2 linked regions of the Astyanax mexicanus genome follow. The protein of the gene in region 2 interacts with the protein of the main gene of each other region in a biochemical or structural test. Links are inferred from orthologs where the notes say so. Each region holds a gene or a part of one and is shown on either strand. Other genes may lie near its edges.

Region 1 (11,002 bases), on a different chromosome or scaffold from region 2:
GAGAGGAAGCGAGATAAAGGATGAGAAAGACAGCAAGAAAGATGGAAATAGAAAATAGAGTGAAAAAGGACAGAGAAAATGTGAAAGAAATACAAAAAGAAAGTGAGAGAAAGATAAACAAAAGAAAAGTGGGATAGTAAGAGAAAGCAAGAGAAAGCAAGAGAGAGAGAGAGAGAGAGAAAGAATGGGTGTGCAGACAGAGGGAGAAAAAAAAGATTAAAAAGAATAAGGGAAAACGAGAAAGCGAAAGAAAGGAACAGAACGACAGAGAAAAAGAAACTATTAATGAGATGGAGGTGGACTGAGAAAAAGAAAGAGAAAGAGAGAAAAAAGGGAGATAAATGATGAGAGAGTTTAATAAAAAGACAACGAGAGAGAAAAAGAAAAGGTGAAAAAGAGGGGGAATAGTTAGAAAGGGAGAAATAATTAGAAAGAGAAAAATAGAAAGATATATAGAGTGAGATAGAAGATAGAGAGTATAGATAGAGAGAATAGAGATAGAATGTGTGGACAAGAGAATGTATGAGAAAGAGAGAAGGAGAGAGAGAATGTATTAAATAAGAGAATGTATTACAAAGAGAGAGAAGGAAGTAAAAAGAGAATGTATTAGAAAGAGAGAGAAGACAGAGAGAAAAGAGTGAAAGCGGAATGTATAAGGAAGAGAAGAAAACAAAGAAAGGAGTGAAAAAGAGTATTTATGAGAAAGAGAGATGGAGAGAGAGAATGTATTGAATAAGAGACTGTATTACAAAGAGAGAAAACGAGAGAGAAAGGTGTGAAAAATAGAATTTATAAGAAAGAGAGAAGGAGAGAGAGAAATGAGTGAATAAGAGAATGCATTAGAAAGAAAGAGAAAAAGAAAAAAGGAGTGAAAAAGAGAATGTATCAGAAAAAGAGAGAAGGAGAGAGAGAAAAGAGTGAAAAGGAGAATTTATAAGAAAGAAAGAGAAGGAGAGAGAGAAAGGAGTGAATAGAAGAATTTATGAGAAAAAGAGGTGTAAAAAACAATGTATTAGAAAGAGAGAATTTATGAGAAAGAGGAAGGAGTGAGATAAAGGAGTCAAAAGACATGTGATGAAAAGAAAAAGATAAAATAGAAAGAGAGGGAAGAGCAGGACTGAAGGACAAAGATAGAATGTGACAATACAAAAAAAAGAAAGAAAAAAGAGCATAGAAAGAAAAAGAGATGGTGGGAGAAAGTGAAAGTGGGGAAATGAGAGGATGAGAGGAGAGAGAAGGACAGAAAATGTAAGGGAGTGAAACAAAGAAAGGATGACAGAAGGAGAACAGGTGAAACTTGTAAGGAAAGAACAGGCGAGGGATAAAAGCAGAAAGAGGGGGATGGAGAGAGAGAAAGATGGAGGAAAAAAGAAAGAGTGAGAGAAGCAGGTCTGAAGACTCATCGAGAGGCTAAATAGAGCAGATTTAGTAAAAACTGAATCCATCAGCCGGACATGCGGAACAAATGAGCTGCCCTCTCAGCAGGAGAGCCGGCCCCTTTATTTGTTCGCATTTTTAAGCTGAAGGGCGAAAGCGGAGCGGTCATCGCACCTAATGAAGTGTCCCCGAAGTTAGAAAAGAACAAAAAACACTTTCAGACCTTCTTAAAGCTCAGCGCGGCCTGCTGGGCTGAAGCTGACCCTGTAGCCGCTCATTCACCACGGGTAGAAACTCAAATGTTCAGATCAGGTCCTCATTTAAGTGTATGTTCTGTTGCTGTGGTTGAAACCCGTTTTCTTTTTGTCCAATGGTTTCCAATCCTGGTCCTAAGGAACTGTCTATATTTGGTGTTTACCTGCTGTATCTTTTCAAATCTTGGACAGGATTAGTTTCTCAGGGGGTCCTGGGGTAATTTTCTCTTTTATGTGGGGTCCTCTGTGACTTTATTCCCATCTGGAACGACCATGTACGTCTTTAATTTTCTCAGACGTCCTTTGAGAAAATTACAGGCTGAATTATCTACTGTTTTTCGCTAAACTCTGTGATCCTCCGGTAATTTTAGTCCCATCTGGATGCTCTGATTTCCGACACCTCACGTTTAAAAAATAACTATTTGTCCACTGCCACACACTGTAATTACACTTCGGGCATGCGTTTCCATGGAGATCCACATAAACACAACAGTGAGTGGAAATGGAGGAGCTACTGAACGAGATGTCATGACCAAGAAACTCAATATTCCTCCTGTTTTTTTTTTTTCAATTGCAGTCCGGATGCAAGAGTTTTATCACGGAGTGGAAGTGTGAAATAATTTTCACAGACGTCCCCCTGAGAAAATAATCCCATCCGGATAGGGCTTTAGAAAGAATAGCTGTAGAACTCTTCAGTACCTCAGCTGTTGTGGAACCAGGCTTAGAGCTCCAGAATTCTTCTTATAGTTCGATATGTTATATGTTTGGGAACCTTGGTGGAGTTTCCTTTTACAGATTATACCTGATCTTGAAAGATTTGTTCAGGATCTTCAGTGGAAACTCCAAAAGTCCAAAACTAGTTCTTCATAAGCTTCCAGAACAGAAGTGGGCACAGGTCTACAGTTCCAGAACTCTAGTTTTTCATTGGTTTCAAGATCTCTAGTTCTTCATAGGCTTCCAGAACCTTGGTGGAACCTTCCAGAACCTCCATACGCTTCAAAATCTGAGTGGAAACTTTAGTTCCTTTTAATATGCTGAAACATTGGTGGAAACTGAGTTGAAACAGATCAACATTTTGAGAACTCTAGAGCTTTAGAAGCCTCTACAATCGCACTGGAAACAGACCTAAAGATGGGTTTCCAATACTCTAGTTCTTCATAGGCTTCTAGAAGCTTGGTGGAACCTTCCAGAACACTCTACTTAAGTAGAGTTTCCACTAAAACCTGAAGACTAGACTTCTGCAACTGATTTCTGAACCTTTTAAGAAAAAGTACAATTCTGGTACTGTAGACCTGAAGTTCCAGAAGCTAACATAGTTATGAACTGTAAAGTTTTCACAAAGGTTCTGGAACTGTATGCGAGTTTCCATCAAGGTTTTGTAAGAACTGTGGTACACTGTCCATGAAATTCTAAAAGAACAGGCGTTGTCTTATTACAGCTCCTTCTCCAAATGTTCCTCCAGGTGGTCTTCAGAGAGAGTCCGTCAGGTAGCGTGATGGATTCAGGGACAGATGCTGAAGCACCTGCTCGCTTAGGCCTGTGACGGGGAGGGGCAGGTCCAGAAGCACTTTTTAAACATGAAGCTCTAAACTCCAGTTGGTATTTACTGCCACCTCCTGCCACGCGCCTATTTACCACCTAACGGGTGGCGGAGAAAGACTGAGCGCCGACACACACGTCCCCGGAGGACAATAATTACCTATTACCTCCCTCTCAGATAAAAACACACACACAAAGACACATTAAACTACTATTTTTGCCCCTTGCTTGCCAGGCACTGCGTTTCGTCCCAATCCCCATGCTTGTAGGCTTCGTCTACAATTCAATTGCATGCTCTCTCGCCCTCTTTCTCGCCATTCCCCTCTCATCTAATTGTGTAGAAGCAAGAGCCTGGAATAAAATGAACCACACTCATTCATAAGATTAATAAAATGTCAAATGAACTGTCCAGTTACTTTTGATTTCCAAACATTTGTTCTAAGGGCAACTGTCCATCTCATTCAGCTGCAACTCAGCTGTATATATCCACTATCACTAGTAATGCCACCACACAAGAAGGGTGAAGTTTAGCATATGCCTCCTCCTGCTGTGATGCAGCATTGCCAAGTAGCATCACAGCGCTAACGCTCGGAGGAAAACGCAGCTACTTGGTTCTAATACATCAGCTCACAGTTGTCTTGTGCTGATCGACATCACCCTTGGAATGATAAAAGAAAAAAGGGGCCATCTACCCACCCAGAGAGAGCAAAGCCAAATGTGCTCTCTCAGGGCTCTGGCAGCTGATGGCAAGCTGCATGGTCGGGATTCAAACCAGTAATTTCCCGATCAAAGTGACAGCGCGGTCTAAAGTTTTACGTAGCATCTTCGTTTACATTCCAGATATGAAACAAGTCTTAATTGGCTTATAGACTGCACCTTGAGTAAAAATTAATTATGTTATATCGATTTTTCACCACCATACTGATCAACACTTATTGAGTATTAAAAAGGGCTATTGAAATTCACAAACAGCTGATTTTTTTTTGGCTCTTTTTAGGTGCTAGAAATGAAATTAACACACAAAGTCTGAAGCTGTTTTCCATACGTACCCCACACAGCCCTGTAACAGACCCTGACAGATTATACCCACCACAGAGTTACACACAAAAAAACCTTTTACTGGGAGAAACAATGAGGCCCTGAATTTTAACAACTGTTGCCTTGAGTTATTTTCCTTTCGTGTGGCCACTTCTGCCAGCCGGTGCTACGCTAACCCAAACAGAGGCTGGCATTTTGTGATGGTGTGAATGGGTAAAAGCCAGCCTTTTCACTCACGTCCTAACAAAACACAATCCGGGGGAACAACGTCTGAAGCGCCTATATGAGGAAATTGCTTTCTATATATCTAAAGTGCAGGTTATAGGCAAGAAATATAAGGGGGGGAAAGAAAGAAAGTATTATGGCCTAGCGGAGGCCGCGGGAAGCCGTTTTTCCTTTCATTTCAGAGCAGCTAGGTCCAATTTCACAGCCTGTGCGAGAGAGGGAGTGGGAAAAAAGCAGGTGAAATCGATTGCGTAGATTGCAGCTGTGTTTTATTGGACTCCTTTTGTGTCATTTTACAGTGTCAGGCAGTGGTAGAATGGATTTGCTGTCGGCGCAGGGCTGATAAAACTGAGCCGAGGACAAGAGCCACAGTTTTAAATGGGAGCGCCCATCTGTTAAAGTGTATTGTGAAAGGGACGAGATTTCTACACGATTAAACAACAAAGCTGTCACACAAATTTCCATTTAGATACTTTTTGTGAGTGTGTTTATTATTATTTTTTTGTATAGTTAGGAACAACTACTATACACAAGTCCAACATTACTTAAACAAATTCTTCATTCATTTATTTCCTTTACAAGTTAACACAGCCCAATAGTGAATAGGGAATTTGTTTAAGAAATGCTATCTTGCTATCTTACACCCTGTTATTTTGCCTCAAAATAAAATCTAATTGTCTAATTGGATGGAGGACACCCAAATGTTTTTTTTTTCTCAAAACCTCTTATGAATAAGTAACTGCTATTTCATTTTTTTGAGATAGTAAGTCATTATTTTGAAAGAAAAAAAAACTTTTTTCCTAAAGCAAACACACTTGCTATCTCAAACTAATGACTTATAATCTCAAAATAATTAGATAGCATCTCAAAATAATGACTTACTATCCTAGAAATAATAAATTAGTATTTCAAAATCATGGCGTGCTATCTCAAAATAATGAATTAGTATCTCAAAATAATGACTTACTCTTCTAAAATTATGAATTAGTATCTCAAAATAATGACTTATTATCTTAAAATAATGAAAAAGTATCAAAAAATTATGACTAATTATCACAAAATAATGACATATCTCAAAATAATGACTTACCATCTCAAAGTAATCAATTAGTATCTTAAAATAATGAATTAGAATCTCAAAATACTGAATTAGTATTTAAAAATAATGATTACTATCTCAAAATAATGACAGTATTACAAAATAATAAATTAGTATCTAAAAATAATGACTTACTATCTCAAAATAAAGAATTAGTATCTCAAAATAATAAATTAATGTCTCAAAATAATGACTTACTATCTCAAAATAATGAATTAGTATCTCAAAATAATGAATTAGTGTCCCAAATGAATGAATTAGTATCTCAGAAAATAAATTAGTCTCAAATTAATGAATTAGTCTCAAATTAATGAATTAGTATCTCAGAAAATGAATTAGAATCTCAAAATAATGACTTACTATCTCAAAAGAATGAATTAGAATCTCAAAATAATGACCTGCTATCTCAAAATAATGAGATAGCTTCAATAACCTGATATATGCTGACTGCTGCAGGTTTAATTAAGCAGGACCTGCTGCTGTATGTAGCCTGCTCGTGACATCGCCTTGGCTGCACCCCGTCAAATTATGAATGCCGCTTAATCCGATTGGTTGCTGGGGGGCCTCCGGAGACGCTGATTGGCTGTGGCTTGTTTCCGGGGCTCAGATTCACCGGTGACGTTTTTTCTCTCAGCATTGAGACAGACGGGGCGAGAATGGCTGCCGGTGGAGGTTAGAGCTTTGCGATTGTTTTTCTCTTCACCATTTAAAGTTATTTAGGAAAGTTTGCGGGTTTGTTCGGGCGCGGTGGGTTAGTGAAGGCCCTCGCCTGTCGGTCGGGGCTGTTTGCGGTTGAGGGGGTTGTTTTTAAGGCGGTGAAGGAGGAGATTGTTTGTGTGTTAGCCCGGAAAGTGCGGACTGGTGGATAGCGTTAGCATTAGCGTTAGCATTAGCTTGGGCTCTTAGCGGCCGGTTAGCAAGTGTGTAAACATTAATGTGGGTGTCGATAAAAAGTCGTTATTTTAGGATATAAGTAGTATTTAGACGGAGGGCCTGCTTCTTAATATTTAATACGAATTTTATTTAATTTATTGACGTGTTTTAAGAGCGTATTTTGGTGGGTTTTGAAGTAAATGGTCTTCGTTAGCAAGCCTAGCTAATGCTAAAGTTCCTACAGGTTTTTGTATCTAGCGTTAACTATTCAAGTAACTTAGTTAGCTTAGTTGTCATTTAAATGCAGCAATTAGCTTAGCTGCCACCCCCTGGAGGGTTGTTTTTTGGAGCTGTTGGTCAGAAGCATTGAACACTGCCACAGTTTACTAACTATTTAGCTAACTTTTATTTTAGCAGTTTTCGACTGTTGAATGACTGCTGGGTTTGGAGTAGCTGTTGTTTGGAGCTCGGTCTGGTGTTCAGTTTTTGGTCAGGGGGTTCAATTCTCGGTCTGGGTGACTGCTGTTCTGTGTCACTAAGATTCCTTGGAAAAGACTCACAGCTAACAAACTTAGTATCTCAAAATAATGACTTACTATTTCAAAGTAATGAATTGGTATGTCAAGATAATGACTTACTATCTCAAAATAATGAGGGAGTATTTCAAATTAATTACTTACTATCTTAAAAGCTGGGGTTCAATTCCTGACTGTGGTTCAATTCCCAGTCTGGGTGACTCTGTGACTATGCTGTGTAGGGGTGGGCAATATTATATCGTATACAATATATCGTAACACAGAAATATCATGATATTAAAGATCCATATTGTGATAATAGGGCTGTTCTGTCTTAAAAGTAGTCTATTATTTACTGTGAAGCTTTAGGTGTATTTATTGTATAATTGTTTTAGTTGCAGTTTATATGCATGCACTAAATATTCTGCAATATTATTTGCTGCATTATATTATTTTATGCTATATTATTTATTTTGCCACATTATGATTATTCTGTTATACTATTATACTATATTCCTGAAATTAATTAATTATTTTTCTGTTTTCCTATATCGCCAAGTATATCGTTATTAGAGGTGTGCCAAAAAATCGATTCACATAAGAATCTTGATTCTCATTTACTACGATTCAGAATCGATTTAAAATGTCCCAAAATCGATTCTGAGGGGCGGGTTTTAGACTGATTTTGGGCTGGGTATTTTTGTTGGACCTGGCAACCCTGGGGATAGGGCTTGTCCCTTCAAACGGAGATCTTCCAGACACACACAGAGCGTAGGTGTTTGAGAATCACCGGTAAGATGGCAGAACAAGCACTATATTACCTTAGATTAACGTGTAGTTTCAATGTTTTATGGCAGAATGCTTCATAACAAGCATAAAAAAGATCGCTAGTAGTTAGTTTCAGTAACTGTTAGCTAGCTAACTAGCTAACTTTCCAGTTCCACCTTAAATAACGCTACAGGTGGCAGCGGGCTGCAGCATTTAAGGCGGAACGGAAAAATAACAATAAGCTAATCAGAGCTAATTTCAGCTCCTCATCACAGAGGAATTAAGGAATGGACAATATGAATTAATTTCTCCACCTCCTGCCCCCTTTCTGAAGAAATACAACGACCTTAAAGTTAACTAGTTAATCAGCAGCTGCTCCTGAACTTTAGCGCTTCACTGCTATCATCACATCAGCCCAGCAGCGTCACCTACACACCACCGCTAGTAGCCTGGTAATAAAGCAGTGTTATTTATTATTTATTTATTGTTCATTAACGTCATTGTGATATCCCAGTGATTTCTCTGTCACTGAGGACCCACATTCCTGCACATTTTATTGTTTTTGTAACACATTACTTGCTCCAGGACCAGTGTATATTATGGAGGGTTTTTTTTCAATAAGATTCATAAGCCAGAAGCAGAATTTTTTATAATTCAAATCGTTTTGAATCAAAAATCGATTTTGAATCGAATCGTGGCCCCCAAAATCGGAATCGAATCGAATCGTGAGATAGTAAACGATTCCCACCCCTAATCGTTATCTCAAAAATACCCTGAAATATCGTGATATTATTTTAGAGCCATATCGCCCACCCCTAATGCTGTGCTACACCAATAAGAGTCTTAAGGCAAGACTCATAGCTTACAAACATACTCAAACATCTCAAAATAGTGTATAACTATTTTAAAATAATGATTTAGTATCTCAAAATAATTAATTACTATCTCAAATTCTAGGGTTTAATTCCCGGTCTGGGGTTCAATTCCTGGTCTGGGGTTCAATTCCCGTATGTTGTGCTACACCAAAAAGAGTCCTTAGGCAAGACTCGTAGCTAATACTACATTGGCTCACTTCTATCATAGAAATAATGTTGTAAGTCGCTCTGGATAAGAGCGTCAGCTAAATGCCGTACATATAATTGTAAATTATAGTTCCCTTTTTGTCAGACTGGTTCATTTGCCTGTAAAGTGCCTTCTTAGTCATTTTAACTTATTTAGTCCTTGAGCGACACACATTGAAGGACAATGTGAATGTGTATTTGTTATTTAGGACCAGAATGTAGGTCTGCTTAGTCATTGAGATAAACCTACTGTATCTCATGCTTTTAAAGGACTCTTCCAACGCTTTAACTAAATGTTGTCTTGTGCCCACAATAAGAAAAAAAACATGAATGAGCTGCTCATTGAATTTGTCTAAATCCGTTTTGAGTTTGGCTTAATGTTGTCCATTTCTGACGTTTTAATTGACTCACTTGCTATGAAAGCGGCTACCAGCTGCTTGGTTTTAACGAGATAAACAGCTGAGCAATAAGAACACTACTGACTCAGTGTTCAGTGGTCTATTTTTGCCACTAAACCTCTCAGAAATATCCACAATTCACAATATATCTCAAACACAGAATTATCTGGGATTTACTTGCTACACCACTCATTTAACGGAATGTCATGAATTAGTCTGACACTGTTCAAACGGCCATGAACACTGAGGGAAATAATTGTACATTTTACTTTAGATTTAGATTTAGAAAGTGACCCAAATTTGAAATGCTTCGGTAGTATACAGTTAAAGCAAAAGTTCCTAACAAATGAGTACAACAAATTGCATTTTTTTTCTTGGTTAATGTCCATCACTTTGTTCTACAGGTGTGCAGCCAAGTAATGGAAAGGCTTGAAACAACCAAGCTGATGGCAAATAGCTGATGGTCTTGATAACCCAGGCTAGTGGTTCCTGTGTGTAGTCTGTTTGTCAGTCATGTTTGGCCTATTTGAGCATGTTGAATTGACATGGGTGGTCTTATATGATGATTAAAATAGAGAAGCATGGACTGTTGATCACAGGCTTGGATCAGAACTCAGTTCTGCTGATCTGCCACAGCTGGGCCTTGAGGCAAGGCCATATTCTGCTGTGCAATAGGTTGTAGAAGGCAATGGTGTTCATATACTATATATATATATATATACATATATATGGTTGGAGATTTTGTAATCCCTTTTTTGAAACATGATTGTCTAATTTTGACCTAAATTTCTTGTATTTTTGGTCAGTTCTGGGGCTTGTCTTGCAGGTCTAAAATTTCTAAAACACACTTTTCTATTCCCTGTTCCCATCGCAGATGTTGGAAAGCTGTTACAAGTACAGAACGGGACTCCTGCAAGCACAAGCTACAACGGAGTAGACGCCCTGCATGCCTGCACCATCCTCCAGCAGCTCAAAGCCCTGTACGACGAAGCGCAGCTGACAGACATCGTCGTGGAGGTGGATCATGGCAAGACCTTCTCCTGTCACAGAAATGTGCTTGCTGCCATCAGCCCTTATTTCAGGTAGAATGTACAGTAAGAGAAAGCACAGCCACTGTACATAATCAAACATACTTTTTAAAAATATTATTATTCATGTTGCCTGTGCAAGTGTTTGGGCACCTTAGATTCGTTACTGAATTTTTTCACTATAAGGCACACTTAAAACTTTTAATTTTCCCAAAAATGTCAGTGCATCTTATAATCTGGTGTGCCTTATGTATGATTTTTACCAGTCTCAGGTTGTGAGGAGCGCTACAGCCACTCCGCTGAAATGTCTCGAGCAGTATTAGCATTAGCCGTTCAGAGTTGAGTATTCTCGGCCTGTAGCCTGCTGCTGACCCTGGCTAGCACTTCTGGAGCAGAATTAGCTTTACCCGCTAACGGTGCCTGCGGTAAGCCGCTAATGCTCTAGCTTTAGTGGAAATCTGGAAATCTAAGCTTACTGTACATAAACAGAAGTGCTTTACTAACCAAAATAAACAGTTTTCAGGAAAGAAATCTGTGTGGATTAACTTTTAGCACTCATTTGACTTGTTTGACTCTTAAGAATTACAGCTTTGTTTACTTAACTTAGTTTGTTTAACTTACTTAGCTTAGTTTTACAGGTTTACAGGCCTGCTAAATTAGAAGGAAAATATGGCTACAGCCCTGTTTCATACCAATGTCTCATAAAATACGCCTTATCCTGTGTGCTTTATAGTGCAAAAAATATGGTATTTGATCATTTCCTTGAATCATTTATATAGCAGATACAAGCTGCACGTCTTATGACTCTTTCGGTTGGATTTTCACCA
Region 2 (11,352 bases):
TTTTTGGGCAAGCAAATATGTTTTATCTGATGACTCGATTAATCAAATTGATTTTTTTTTTAGTAGAGTACTCGATTACTAAAATAATCGATAGCTGCAGCCCCACTGACATTCAAATAAATAGCAAATACAAACTGATCTGATTTAAAGTGATTGTGAATACAGTAGCGTCCCTGACTGTTGGGAAGAAACAGCATCACTGCTACCTCCTAAAGGATCCACACATCTGACCACACATCTCCACACAGCAACAGAATCTGTGTATTATCCTGAGGGAAAAGGAGAGGTTTGGAAATGGTCATGTAAAAATGAATTATGAGAGTTTTTGGAACTTAAAACCCCACAAAGTTAGAAGTAGACTTCAGGGGGGGAATCAAAACGCAGGAGAAATATGCTGAGTAGGGACCTTTAAACTGAAATACTAGGCCACAAATTTACAGTCTGAACTCGGAGACTGTGTGTATATATGTGTGTGTGTGTTGTACAGTCAGTCACTATAGAGTTACCTCGATGACAGACTGAGGTGATGCCATCATGCATCCATGTGTAGATTAGTGCGGTTGCGGTAACATGATGACACGGAGCGTGGGCTGGAGTTTTTAATGAGCTCGGCCTCAGCGCCGCCTGGAAACGAATAAAAGAAAGAGGGAGAGGGAGATGGATGGAGGGAGCAGCCACAACTTCAAAGAGCTCTATGGATCTGACTGAGCTTACGGCCTCAGAGGGGTCCTGCTATTTCACTTACAGTCAGACACACACAGAGTTATGCGCTCGGACATTGGAACATGTAATTTTGTAAAGCTTTCGACATCAGAACAGTAGAAAAATGGATCAAATGCAATTAAAAGAAAATTAAATGATAAATAACTACTAACCACATTTTTTCTTCTAGATCAGGGGTATTCATTCCAGCTAATGGAGATCGTATGGCAGCATCGGTCATATGACCATAGAGTCTCGGTAACGGTCATGTGAAATTGGACCAAATGTGGGTAACACTTTATTTTAAGGAACACAAATTAGGCGCTTATTAATGTCTTATTATTTGCTTAATAAAGCCTTAATTAGACATTTGTAAATGATTTATTCACTACTTTTTTAGGCTTTATTCTGTGTATTCAGTGTAATTGGTGCTTAATTAGGGGTATATTATGTGGAAATGATTAATAATGACTGTATTAGTTCTTATAGAGCACAATAAACAGTTATGTTAGCGCCCTGTTTTATTAAGATTATTAAGCGTTGACTATTAGCTAATTATACATGTTATTAGTGTTCTTATAATTGGCAGCAGTTTGATCTACAGTATGTGAGTTTGGTAAGGTTATGGCTGTGCTGGAGTTTATTAAGAGTTAATAAGGGGTTAATAAGTCATTAATAGACCAAGATGTGCACCATATCCTAAAGTGAGGTTCTGTTCATCACTAATTAGACACTAAAAATTACTGAATAAATATCAATCAATTAATCAATCAATCAAATATCCTAATTAAGCACCAATAACACTTACACAGAATAAAGCCTAATAAGTAGTGAATAAATAATTTACAAATGTCTAATTAAGGCATTATTAAGCAAATAATAAGACATTAATAAGCGCCTAATTTGTGTTCCTTATCATAAAGTGCTACCCAAATGTGGTTTATACTTATACTTATAGCATACAGAGGTTTCTCGTATCATATTCAGCAACCATGGTGTTGGTGCATGCAGCTTTACCCAATTGCTATATTATACTCTGTAACCAGGGTGTTGGCACATGCAGCACTTAGGCCTAGATTCAAACCGGTGCTGGGCAACTCAGGCTAGGTGTGTAATATTTGGCCAAGAAATAGACAATATGATTTTTCATATCTGTGTGGAGATTTTATATTTAAGGCAAACTGTATTTCTTTCTTTAATCAGATCTGTTGAGATAACTGGCTGCACCGTTTTTGTTGCAAGTGATCAGATTGGATTTTTTTTGTGTCTGGACATCACAAACATATCTGCATTGGTTGCTGTGGTATCAAGGTCGGTGCGGGTCGCTGACCTTTGGTGCTCAACTTTGGTGCTATGACCTCATCAAATCAGGGTGATGGAAATGAGTGCCAACTCAAGCACGATTGTAATGAGATTTTTGAGTTTTGATAGTCTGTACAGCCAGAAAGCACATATAACACAAATTGGATACAAACCAAATTAAGCGCTTTTCCACCAAAAGAACTTTGGTTCTTGTTTTTTTTAGCGAACCAGTCTGCATTTACAACAGTTTTAGTGGAACCATCAAAATGTCACATCATACGTCATCAACAGAGGGACTTGCACAGCGACAGTGAACAGAACAGGTCATGTTTCTGAAGGCCTTGAATTACCTGGAGCAGGTGAGTGAGATGGTAGATCTCCAGGACCAGTGATGAGCAGGCCTCTCTAGTTCTCTGAAGTGTCTGATAGCCATTGTGATCCCCAGGCTGTGAAAGTGGCTCCCTCTAGTGTCTATAGTTCATTCATTAGATTTAAAAAAAATATATAAACAATAGCACAGCAAAGTAGGGCCTCAACATTCACGTTTATATTTGTGCACTAAATAAATACACTGTAACAATGTAAAAGTTAAGAAAACACAAAACTTTAAGGCAACTTAGTCCACAATTGAGTTTTAAGATCAACTTAAACTTAAACATTTAAGTTTTCAAGATAACCACAGACACTTGTGCCAACAAGAAATCTTGAAGCTAAAGTCAGCGTGTGTATAAATTAATGGATTAATAATTGAAGGATATTTTCTTCTCTTGTAAAGTTACCATTTTTGCATGGATATATATATATATATATATATATATATATATATATATATATATATATATATATATATATATATATATCCATATATATATATATATAAACTAATACTGAATATGAATAAGTGATGCTGAATACTTGTATACTTTGTATAAAGGAGAGTATAAAAATGAATTTAAACCTGTTTAAGTTTGTCAGATCTGTCCACAAACAAGGCATTAACTGTCCTGTGATATAGAATTAAAAGCTGCATGGTTTGGATGCTTCTAAACGACTGACTAACTGCTGCGATCATGCATCGTTGGCGTTTGCACTTGTTGACACCAGAGCATTTGTTCTGGACGCGTGTGAGTTAACAGCATCAGCTGGCTTCCCAGGGGTTGGATTGATTCTGTTGCCAGTCTTTCCCTGCCAACATTTGTCCTGAATAGCGTTATTCTGGGTAAAGCTATCCTAGAGATCCAGTGCAGATAAAGTAGCTGGATGGCTCTTGGGGACCCACAGACTCACAGTGTTATAGTCATGGAGAAATTATACCTGCCCCACTCTTTCCAAGAGCAACAGCACGCTGCCTGCTCGGGGTGCCAGACGCAGGCTTTTTCACTTCCCAGGTGGGTCGGTGCGTGTGAGCATCAGATTGGTCCTCTAAACACCAGCATGTGGGACTGGCCGAGCAGGAGAACAGTCTACTTTGTACTGTAAGTCATGGAGCCATTCAACCTTGAACACTTTTGGCATCAGGAGCTTCCAGAAAGGCAGTGTGGATATTTTCATAACAGCAATTTTTTTTTGTTTTTATACAAAACGAGATTAATGGGCTCTTTAAAAAGCAATGTACACTATGTGGTCCGGTAAATGAACTTAAAACTATTTGAGAAATAGTTCTTCATTGAAAAAAAAGGCTTTTTAAACTTTTTTGTTGAAGATTTTTTTTATATGTTAAGCACCAAAAACATTTCACTAATATTCCCATGGTTTATTTGAGTTGTCCTGCACCTACATTGTCTATATATATATATATATATATATATATATATATATATATATATATATATATATATATATATATATATAATCATATGTAATTAACTTACTAATTGCATGTATTATTTGCCAGGCTACAGGGAATCTACACAAATAGCTAATGTGTGCAAATATACATCATTTGAGTTCACAAAAGACAGTAAAGCCACAAACTGCCACTACAGACAAGTACAGTTAGCACTGTAATTACCTTATCTCATCAAGTGCAACAATCACTGTAATTACCTCAATCACATTGTCCTGTCACATGTTCTTAACTTTTAAGGGCGTGAATCGTGTTGTTAAGTATGTAGACACTGCAAAATCATGTACAAAATCTGTTCTCTCTCCCAAAAAAAAAAAAATCCAAAATTTATAGATTTCTGTGTATAAACAGAATGAAATAAAGAAATAATCTTCCTTTTTGTCTGAATTTCAAGAATATTTTAATAACATCCCAGTCTTACTTTTATATGTCCAATATTCCAGTAGAAAAATTAAAAGATCCCACACTTTCAGTATTCCACAGTTCATATACTTTAACCCTTGATCTCAGTCTGTCTATGTAAAATCTATTTTTATCTCTGTTTATTAATAATAGTTTTCTATATTCAGCTTGCCTACATTCACTATGCTGCCAGGCAGTGTGAGTGTGGTCATCAGATTAATGGTCTCCACCTCAGCTGTAGATCAGCGCATGTTCGGTGGTGATGGTGCCACACGGGGACTGGACACGTTCCAGGTGTTCCCCCCCAGGTGAGCTCCACCGCACTGCGTGCCTCCATGCTGGGTACTTAACCAGCATCAATATTTACCCAGCTGCAGGAAGGTGCATTAGTGTGCAGGCCGTACACACAAACCCCCAGCTGAAGCCAAGCACAGGAATAACAGCGTATTAGATTTTATATCAGCGCGAGAGGGCATTAGTGCATTTCCCTTCATTTACCCCTCCAATTTCTCTCTCTCCTCTTGATCTTGTTACTCTTAAAAACATTTGTTTTCCATTCTTTGTAAAGCATAATCTGTTATACAGTCCAATATTCCTGAGGTAATTACAGTCATGTTATATTGCTAACAAACACAGCAGCTTGGCTCAGCAAGGTTGGAGCAGGTTAGTCATGATGCTAACAGCTGGCCCTGGCCGAGTTAGACCAGGTTAACCACAATGCCAAAAGCTGGGTTTGACAGTGGTGGACCAGGTTAGCCGTGATGCTATAAACCAGGCGAGATTGAAGCAATTTCCTGTAATGTTAACATTAAATCTCTAGCCAGGTGGGAGCCCCAATGCTAACAGACTGAACAGCCACGTACAGATAATTTAGTGCAGATGAGCCACAGCCTACAGGGTTAGAGTCGTAATGCTAACAGACACAGCAGCTGGTCTAGGCAGGGCTGGAGCAGGTTCTCTGTGATGATAAAAGCTTGGCTCGTTAGCCTAGTGCACTTGTGTTACTTTGAATACTTTGGACACCTTTCGTTTAGGGCACCAGGTGTGTAGTGTGCCGTGTGTAGTGTGCAGCATGTAGGGCACTAGATGTGTAGTGTGCAGCGTGTCGGGCACCAGAGGTGTAGTGCTCATTGTGTAGGGCACTAGGTGTGTAGTGTGCACTGTGTAGGGCACTAGGTGTGTAGTATGCAGCGTGTCGGGCACCAGAGATGTAGTGCTCATTGTGTAGGGCACTAGGTGTGTAGTGTGCACTGTGTAGGGCACTAGGTGTGTAGTGTGTGGGGCACTAGGTGTGTATTGTGCAGTGAGTAGAGCACTAGTCATAGACATGTATACTGAAAATAGACATGCATACATAAACGCCGCATAGCCGGCCTCCTGGCGTATCAGCCGGCCGCCATATTGGAGGAGTCAACCACTCGCCCCTAGTTCATTTATTAGTACGGAGGAAGGTATTTAAAACACCTATAATAATCACAACTCTATCAAAGTGTACCCGATTTTTACAGGGTTTGGTTTGTTTTAAACAGCAGAGCAGAGATGTAGCTATGCTATAGGAAGCTGTTACACATTAAGAATACGTTATATACGTTTATGCTGAAATAACCTGTATTATGTTTATATGGTATACATGCTCTAGGGCGCATGGGAGACTCCTCCAATATGGCGGCCGGCTGACATGCCAGCTTCAAAAGGCGGCGTCTGTTTCGGACGTGCCTTCGTTTAGGCGTAAAACGTGTGGATGCCGTGTTTCTTCGTCATTTCCTGTGCGCGCAGTCGGTGTGGTATAGAGAAGATGGCGGAGGTCGGCGTGGTTCCGAGTGATCTATTCCCGTATGTTTACTCTTTTCTGCTCCAGAACAAGTTCAGCAAGGCGGCCCAGGAGTTTATGAAGAAGACTAAAGTGGTGAGTGCCCGGTAACCGGTCCCGTTGTGGCGCGCGGTACGTTTCTGCGAGACGGGGAGTCCGGCTGCGCGCGCGCTGTAAACACGTGTTCAGTACGGCGCGCGAGGGGCAGCGCGAGCCGATTATTGCACGGGTTACAAGCCAAAGTTACTTACTGCGCAGGTTACTGTCCGCGGTACTGCCCTGGTTACTGCCTACGGTAACTACTGCCCGGGTTACTGCTCGCGGTGCTCCGAACACAGAACCAAAGGGTGACCGATTATAACCGGTATAAGTAACGTTATATCTGTGCTAATCCTGATCAGGACTCACAGCGGTAACGTTACTGAAGAACCGGGCAGAGCAGCGTTACTGTAATAATAATACTCAACTTATTTATTACCACTTATTTTATATCCCGTCATATTATAACTAGATATTAAAATACATACTACTGAAAGTACGGTGTAATAACCTAACCAAAAACTAGTGTTCTTTGCTGAGGGAATCACTGTGCCATACAGGGTTAAAACTATGTATCTAAATACTTATTTTTAAACTTTATTTTGTTTAAACATGAAAAAGCAGGCTGTACTATTTAGAGTAAATTCAGACTGAATTTAGTGCAATTAAAGTAAGAATTACAGTTTTATGTAGAGAAGATAAACTAGCTAGAGATCTGTGAGCACGTGGTAAAGTCCACGTTTCTCCTCCAGTCATCAAACACACCAGTTCACCCACTGTTTTCTCCTCCAGTCATCACACACACCAGTTCACCCACTGTTTTTTTTAGCCACTGTTTCCATGATCTTAACTAGTAGATTGAGAACTTGTTTGTTCAGACTGATCCTGCTGGAACCGGTTCATTTAAAAGTCATTTTAATAGCTGAGAGGAAAGCAGGTTCTGGATCATAACTACATTTAATACAGGAAGAGGAGGATAATTACAACAAATTAAATACATGTTTTTTTTTCTGTAAGCACATACACACTTACTGTCGGGATTGTTAGCTTAGTTTTCTGACATTCTATCTGTACCTTCATACCATTAGTCCGTTACATCCACTGATTACTTACTGTAATAATAACCACTTGATAAATGATGTACAACAGCACCAGTGGATAGTTTTGACACACCTTCTCATTCAGTGTTTTTTATTTATTTATGATTTTCTACATTTGTAGATGAATATTAAAGACTAGAAATCAATTAAGGGACACATATGGAATTACATAGTAAATGTGGATGAGCAAGCATGTTGACTGTTTACAAATGTATTTTAGTTATTTAGAATATTTGAAAGGTATTTCAATTGAATTGCCTGGATATTCTTAATTATTAAAAGCTTATTGCTCTTTTAAAGGTATGTGTATTTTATGCTATTATGTTATCTTTACAGCAGTGTTGAAAATGACTGCTAGTTAAGCACTGTAATTCCTGGGAAATTGTTATTGTTAATTATTGTAACAGGCAATATGTACAAAAGGTAATTCATGTGAATTTGGAGCTATTAGTAAGGTAGTAGTTTGGTGTAATTATACATAAGTAATAAAGATTGTCTCAATTCAGAAACCTCAAGACGAAAATGAAGAAGGACTCCTTGACGTCTTCCAGTTCTGGGTCAAGTAAGTGAATGTTTATTACTAACCCTGTTAAAGTTACTTTGTGGGCAAAGCACTTTTAATTTTGCGATGTTGGAGGTTCGTAATTGTAACACACGTCTGTGTGTGTACGTTTAGATCTGGAGAGTCCAAAAAGCGTAAGGCCGTTACTAATGGACCTGCTGCAGTCAACGGGCCGTCTGCGAAGAAGACCAAAAGGGAGAGCTCCAGTAGTGAAGAGTCGAGCAGTGATGAGGAGGAAGCCCCAGCTGCAAAGAAAACTCCTCCAGGTAACCTATTGCTGTAATCAATCAATCAATCAATCTTTATTTTGATTCAGAAGTACATTGAGAGCAACCCTCATTTTCATTGTAGCTGAGCATCTACAGAAATGGGGATTGACATGACAAAGAAAATAATAGCTACATTTAATTATTTAAAATTACAGTAAATCTTCTCTATCCCATTATTTCCCTTCGACCACCTTTAAGCCCTATCTAAAGATGTTTTACCTTTAACTTCTATTACTTTTGGACTTGACTATTGTAAGTCGCTTTGGACAAAAGCGTCTGCCAAATATAATGTAATGTAATGTAAAATATAAAAATAGATAAAAAAATAAAATAAAAATAGTTAGAATAAAAATAAATTAATAATAATTTATTATAAAGCTTGGTTTAAGTGATACAAAATTAAGATCAAAAGAAGATAAGATTAATACAACGAAAAAATTAGTTAAAATGTGCTAAAACTGACCAATACAAAGAAAAAATAAAAAAGACTTACTTTTTCCTTAAATTAATATAGGGTCAGGTGTCATACATACAGCACACACATTTGATTTGATTCATGTTTTTTGATTAGTGTGCTGTCAAACCCGCGTGACATGGGCTCAGAAAAAGCTGCAGCCAATCAGAAACAAAATTAGGAAGACCAATAAATTCCTTTTTTTTTTAATTGATTACATATGATGTGCATTATATGTTTACCTTCCTGTTCAATTGTCTGATGCATGCATGCACAGCTGCAGCGAAGAAGCCCGCAGCTGCAGCGAAGAAGCCCGCAGCTGCAGCAGAGTCGAGCAGCAGTGAAGACTCCAGCGACTCTGAAGATGAAGCTCAGACTAAACCTCCTGTAAAGGTATGCCCTGTTTTTTTGAAAATTTATTGTGTAACAGTATGTGTGGCTTTTTTTATTATGTGTATCATATGTTTTATCATTTGGTGTTTTTAGAAGGTGGCAGCAGTGAAAGCTGCAGTGGCGTCTCCTGCTGCTGTGGCGGCGGCAGCCAGGAAGAAGGACACCAGCTCCAGCAGTGAGGAGTCCGATTCTGAGGACGAGCCTCCTAAATCTAAAGCAGCAGGTGAGTGAATGCTGTCAGTATGCTGAATAACACTGCAGGGTATCAGTAAGACTGACTGACATGTGGGTTCCAGGCTGAGAAGCAGCAAAACTCCACCAGTAAAGGGAATCCTTTCTTGCACTAATTGTAGCAAAATAAAATTTATATGCTTAGTATTACGGGTGTGTCGTACACTAGAGCTTAGATCGGGCCCAAAATATCCAGCCGAGTCTGACCTGATCCGACCCGAGCCTGTGCATGTCCTGCCAGAGCCCAACCTGAACCGACCTATACACTGTCATTATGAGCGTGAGCCTGATTTAAACCCACGTTATAGAGCGTTTAAAACTGCTAAAAAAAATAAAATAAATAAATCATTTTTTTGGGGCTGTTTGAATGAGCGAAATCTGTTTGGAATGATGTTAATTAACATTGCAACACTGAAGAAGCATAGACGCATATCTAAGAATAATGTTTATTAAGAACAGATCTCCGAAACAAAGCGAACAATGATCCAAAGGCCTAAACATCAGTAAATCAGGCTACAAGAATGATGTCTGAAGGACTTTCCTCTAGTCTAATATAGTTTAACATGGTTTAAGAATAGAAAATAATTTCTATAGCTTTTTATATTGAACTTATAGTTTAAGTGCAAAAACATAAAAAAACAAGGCTACGTACTGCACTGCAGTGTGCACAGTTTGATTTGTTAATTTGCTTTATTGGGATATCATGCCATAGCTTAATATAAAATAAAAATAGCATTAAAAAACAGACCTGTGTCAAATTGCTTTTTTGAGCCGGTGGAAAGTGGTGGGAAATCCCGAACTTGGGCCGGGCTGGGTCTCTGGTCGGGTCGGGTTTTGGGCAGAGAATCTAAGCTCTATCGTACACATGATACACAAAATTTATTTTAAAGCATTAATAAATAAGGCGTTCTTTTTTCTGTTTGAAAGCAGACTATTTTGTATTTGTTTTAAAATGTTCTTGAAGCTTTAAAGATTTTAAAGTTTTTTTTTTTTTGTGTAAAATTCTGTTTTTAAAGTTAAACAGTGACTAATAACTTAATTGAAAGAATGACTTGTGCTTTTCAGTGGCCAAGCCTGCAGCTGTGGCTCCTGCTAAAGCCGCAGCTCAGAAGAAGCAGGAGAGCAGCAGCAGTGAGGAGAGCTCCAGTGACTCTGAGGACGAACCCGCAGCTAAGGTGCTCACTGTTCCACTGATGAACGTTTCCACACACTAATGTTTAAACCCCACAGTAGCAGAATTGTTTGTGTGAGGGTGAGAGTATAAAATGCTATTTAGTCTTACATTTTATATAAATATATATTTTTTTTGATGTGCACAATGCAGCCAGTGGTAAAAGCTCCAGCTGCCCCGGTGAAAGCCCCAGCGGCCAAGGCTGCAGCTCCAGCAGACTCCAGCAGCAGCGAGGATTCATCAGATGAGGATGAGGCTCCTCCTGCAAAGAAATCCAAACCAGGTACTGTCCTCACAGCCTTCTGGTCCAGTGAAGGGAGAGATATGTACAGAAAAATAAGCTGCTTTTACATTACATCAGGGTTTGTATGATCGTGAACCCCTGGGAAAAAGTCATGAAATATGAAATAAAATAGCAATTTCCAGGCCTTGGAAAAACAAAAATACCCAGAAAGTTTTGGAAAATCATGAAAATTTGGTCTATATTTTTTTTCTATTTTATTTTAAGCTAACAAATACGTCAGCTCATTAATTTAGCCCTACACAATGGTGCTCTCGGGATCTCCCATTTTATTATTTAAAATTGTTCATTTTCATTTTATCTGATTCAGTTTAGACCTACTATAATACATTTTAGTTATAGTTTTAGTTGATATTTGGATTGGCCTTGAAATTTACTGGTTAAAAAGTTTATGACCAGCGCTCAGAAGGAGCAAAATTGGCCTTGCTCCCTCCGGGTGGGCAGATGGCGCTCTCTTCCCATATCACTTAAGGGTGATGTGGATCAGCACAAGGCTGCATCTGTGAGCTGAAGTATCAGAACCGAGTCGCTGCTTTTTCCTCCGAGTGTTAGCGCTGTGATGATGATGCTACTCGGCAATGCTACAGCATCAGCAGCTGCTCCAAAAGAGGCGGCGTCTGACTTCACATGTATCGGAGGAAGCTGATGCATGTGGAGACTTCACCCTCCTGGTTTTGGGGCGTCCTAATGAGTGGGTTGGGTTGGGTAATTGGCTTGGGTAATTGGCTGTGCAAAATTGGGGAGGAAATGGGAAAACATTAGAAATAAAA

What was found. The genes of interacting proteins can lie anywhere in the genome.
Region 1: the proteins of nolc1 (region 2) and kbtbd8 form a complex in vitro, tested with the Homo sapiens proteins (2 studies listed by BioGRID). The link is inferred for Astyanax mexicanus from reciprocal best matches to the Homo sapiens genes NOLC1 and KBTBD8.

What each region holds. Positions count from the first base shown.
Region 1 is NC_064431.1:27,105,751-27,116,752, forward strand, and holds the start of kbtbd8 (kelch repeat and BTB domain-containing protein 8), read left to right. Parts: upstream 1-6,140; 5' UTR 6,141-6,188; coding exon 6,189-6,204; intron 6,205-10,021; coding exon 10,022-10,229; intron 10,230-11,002. UniProt on the Homo sapiens protein: Substrate-specific adapter of a BCR (BTB-CUL3-RBX1) E3 ubiquitin ligase complex that acts as a regulator of neural crest specification.
Region 2 is NC_064414.1:4,015,961-4,027,312, reverse strand, and holds the start of nolc1 (nucleolar and coiled-body phosphoprotein 1), read left to right. Parts: upstream 1-6,000; 5' UTR 6,001-6,047; coding exon 6,048-6,158; intron 6,159-7,707; coding exon 7,708-7,763; intron 7,764-7,877; coding exon 7,878-8,029; intron 8,030-8,763; coding exon 8,764-8,879; intron 8,880-8,972; coding exon 8,973-9,102; intron 9,103-10,175; coding exon 10,176-10,285; intron 10,286-10,434; coding exon 10,435-10,564; intron 10,565-11,352. UniProt on the Homo sapiens protein: Nucleolar protein that acts as a regulator of RNA polymerase I by connecting RNA polymerase I with enzymes responsible for ribosomal processing and modification.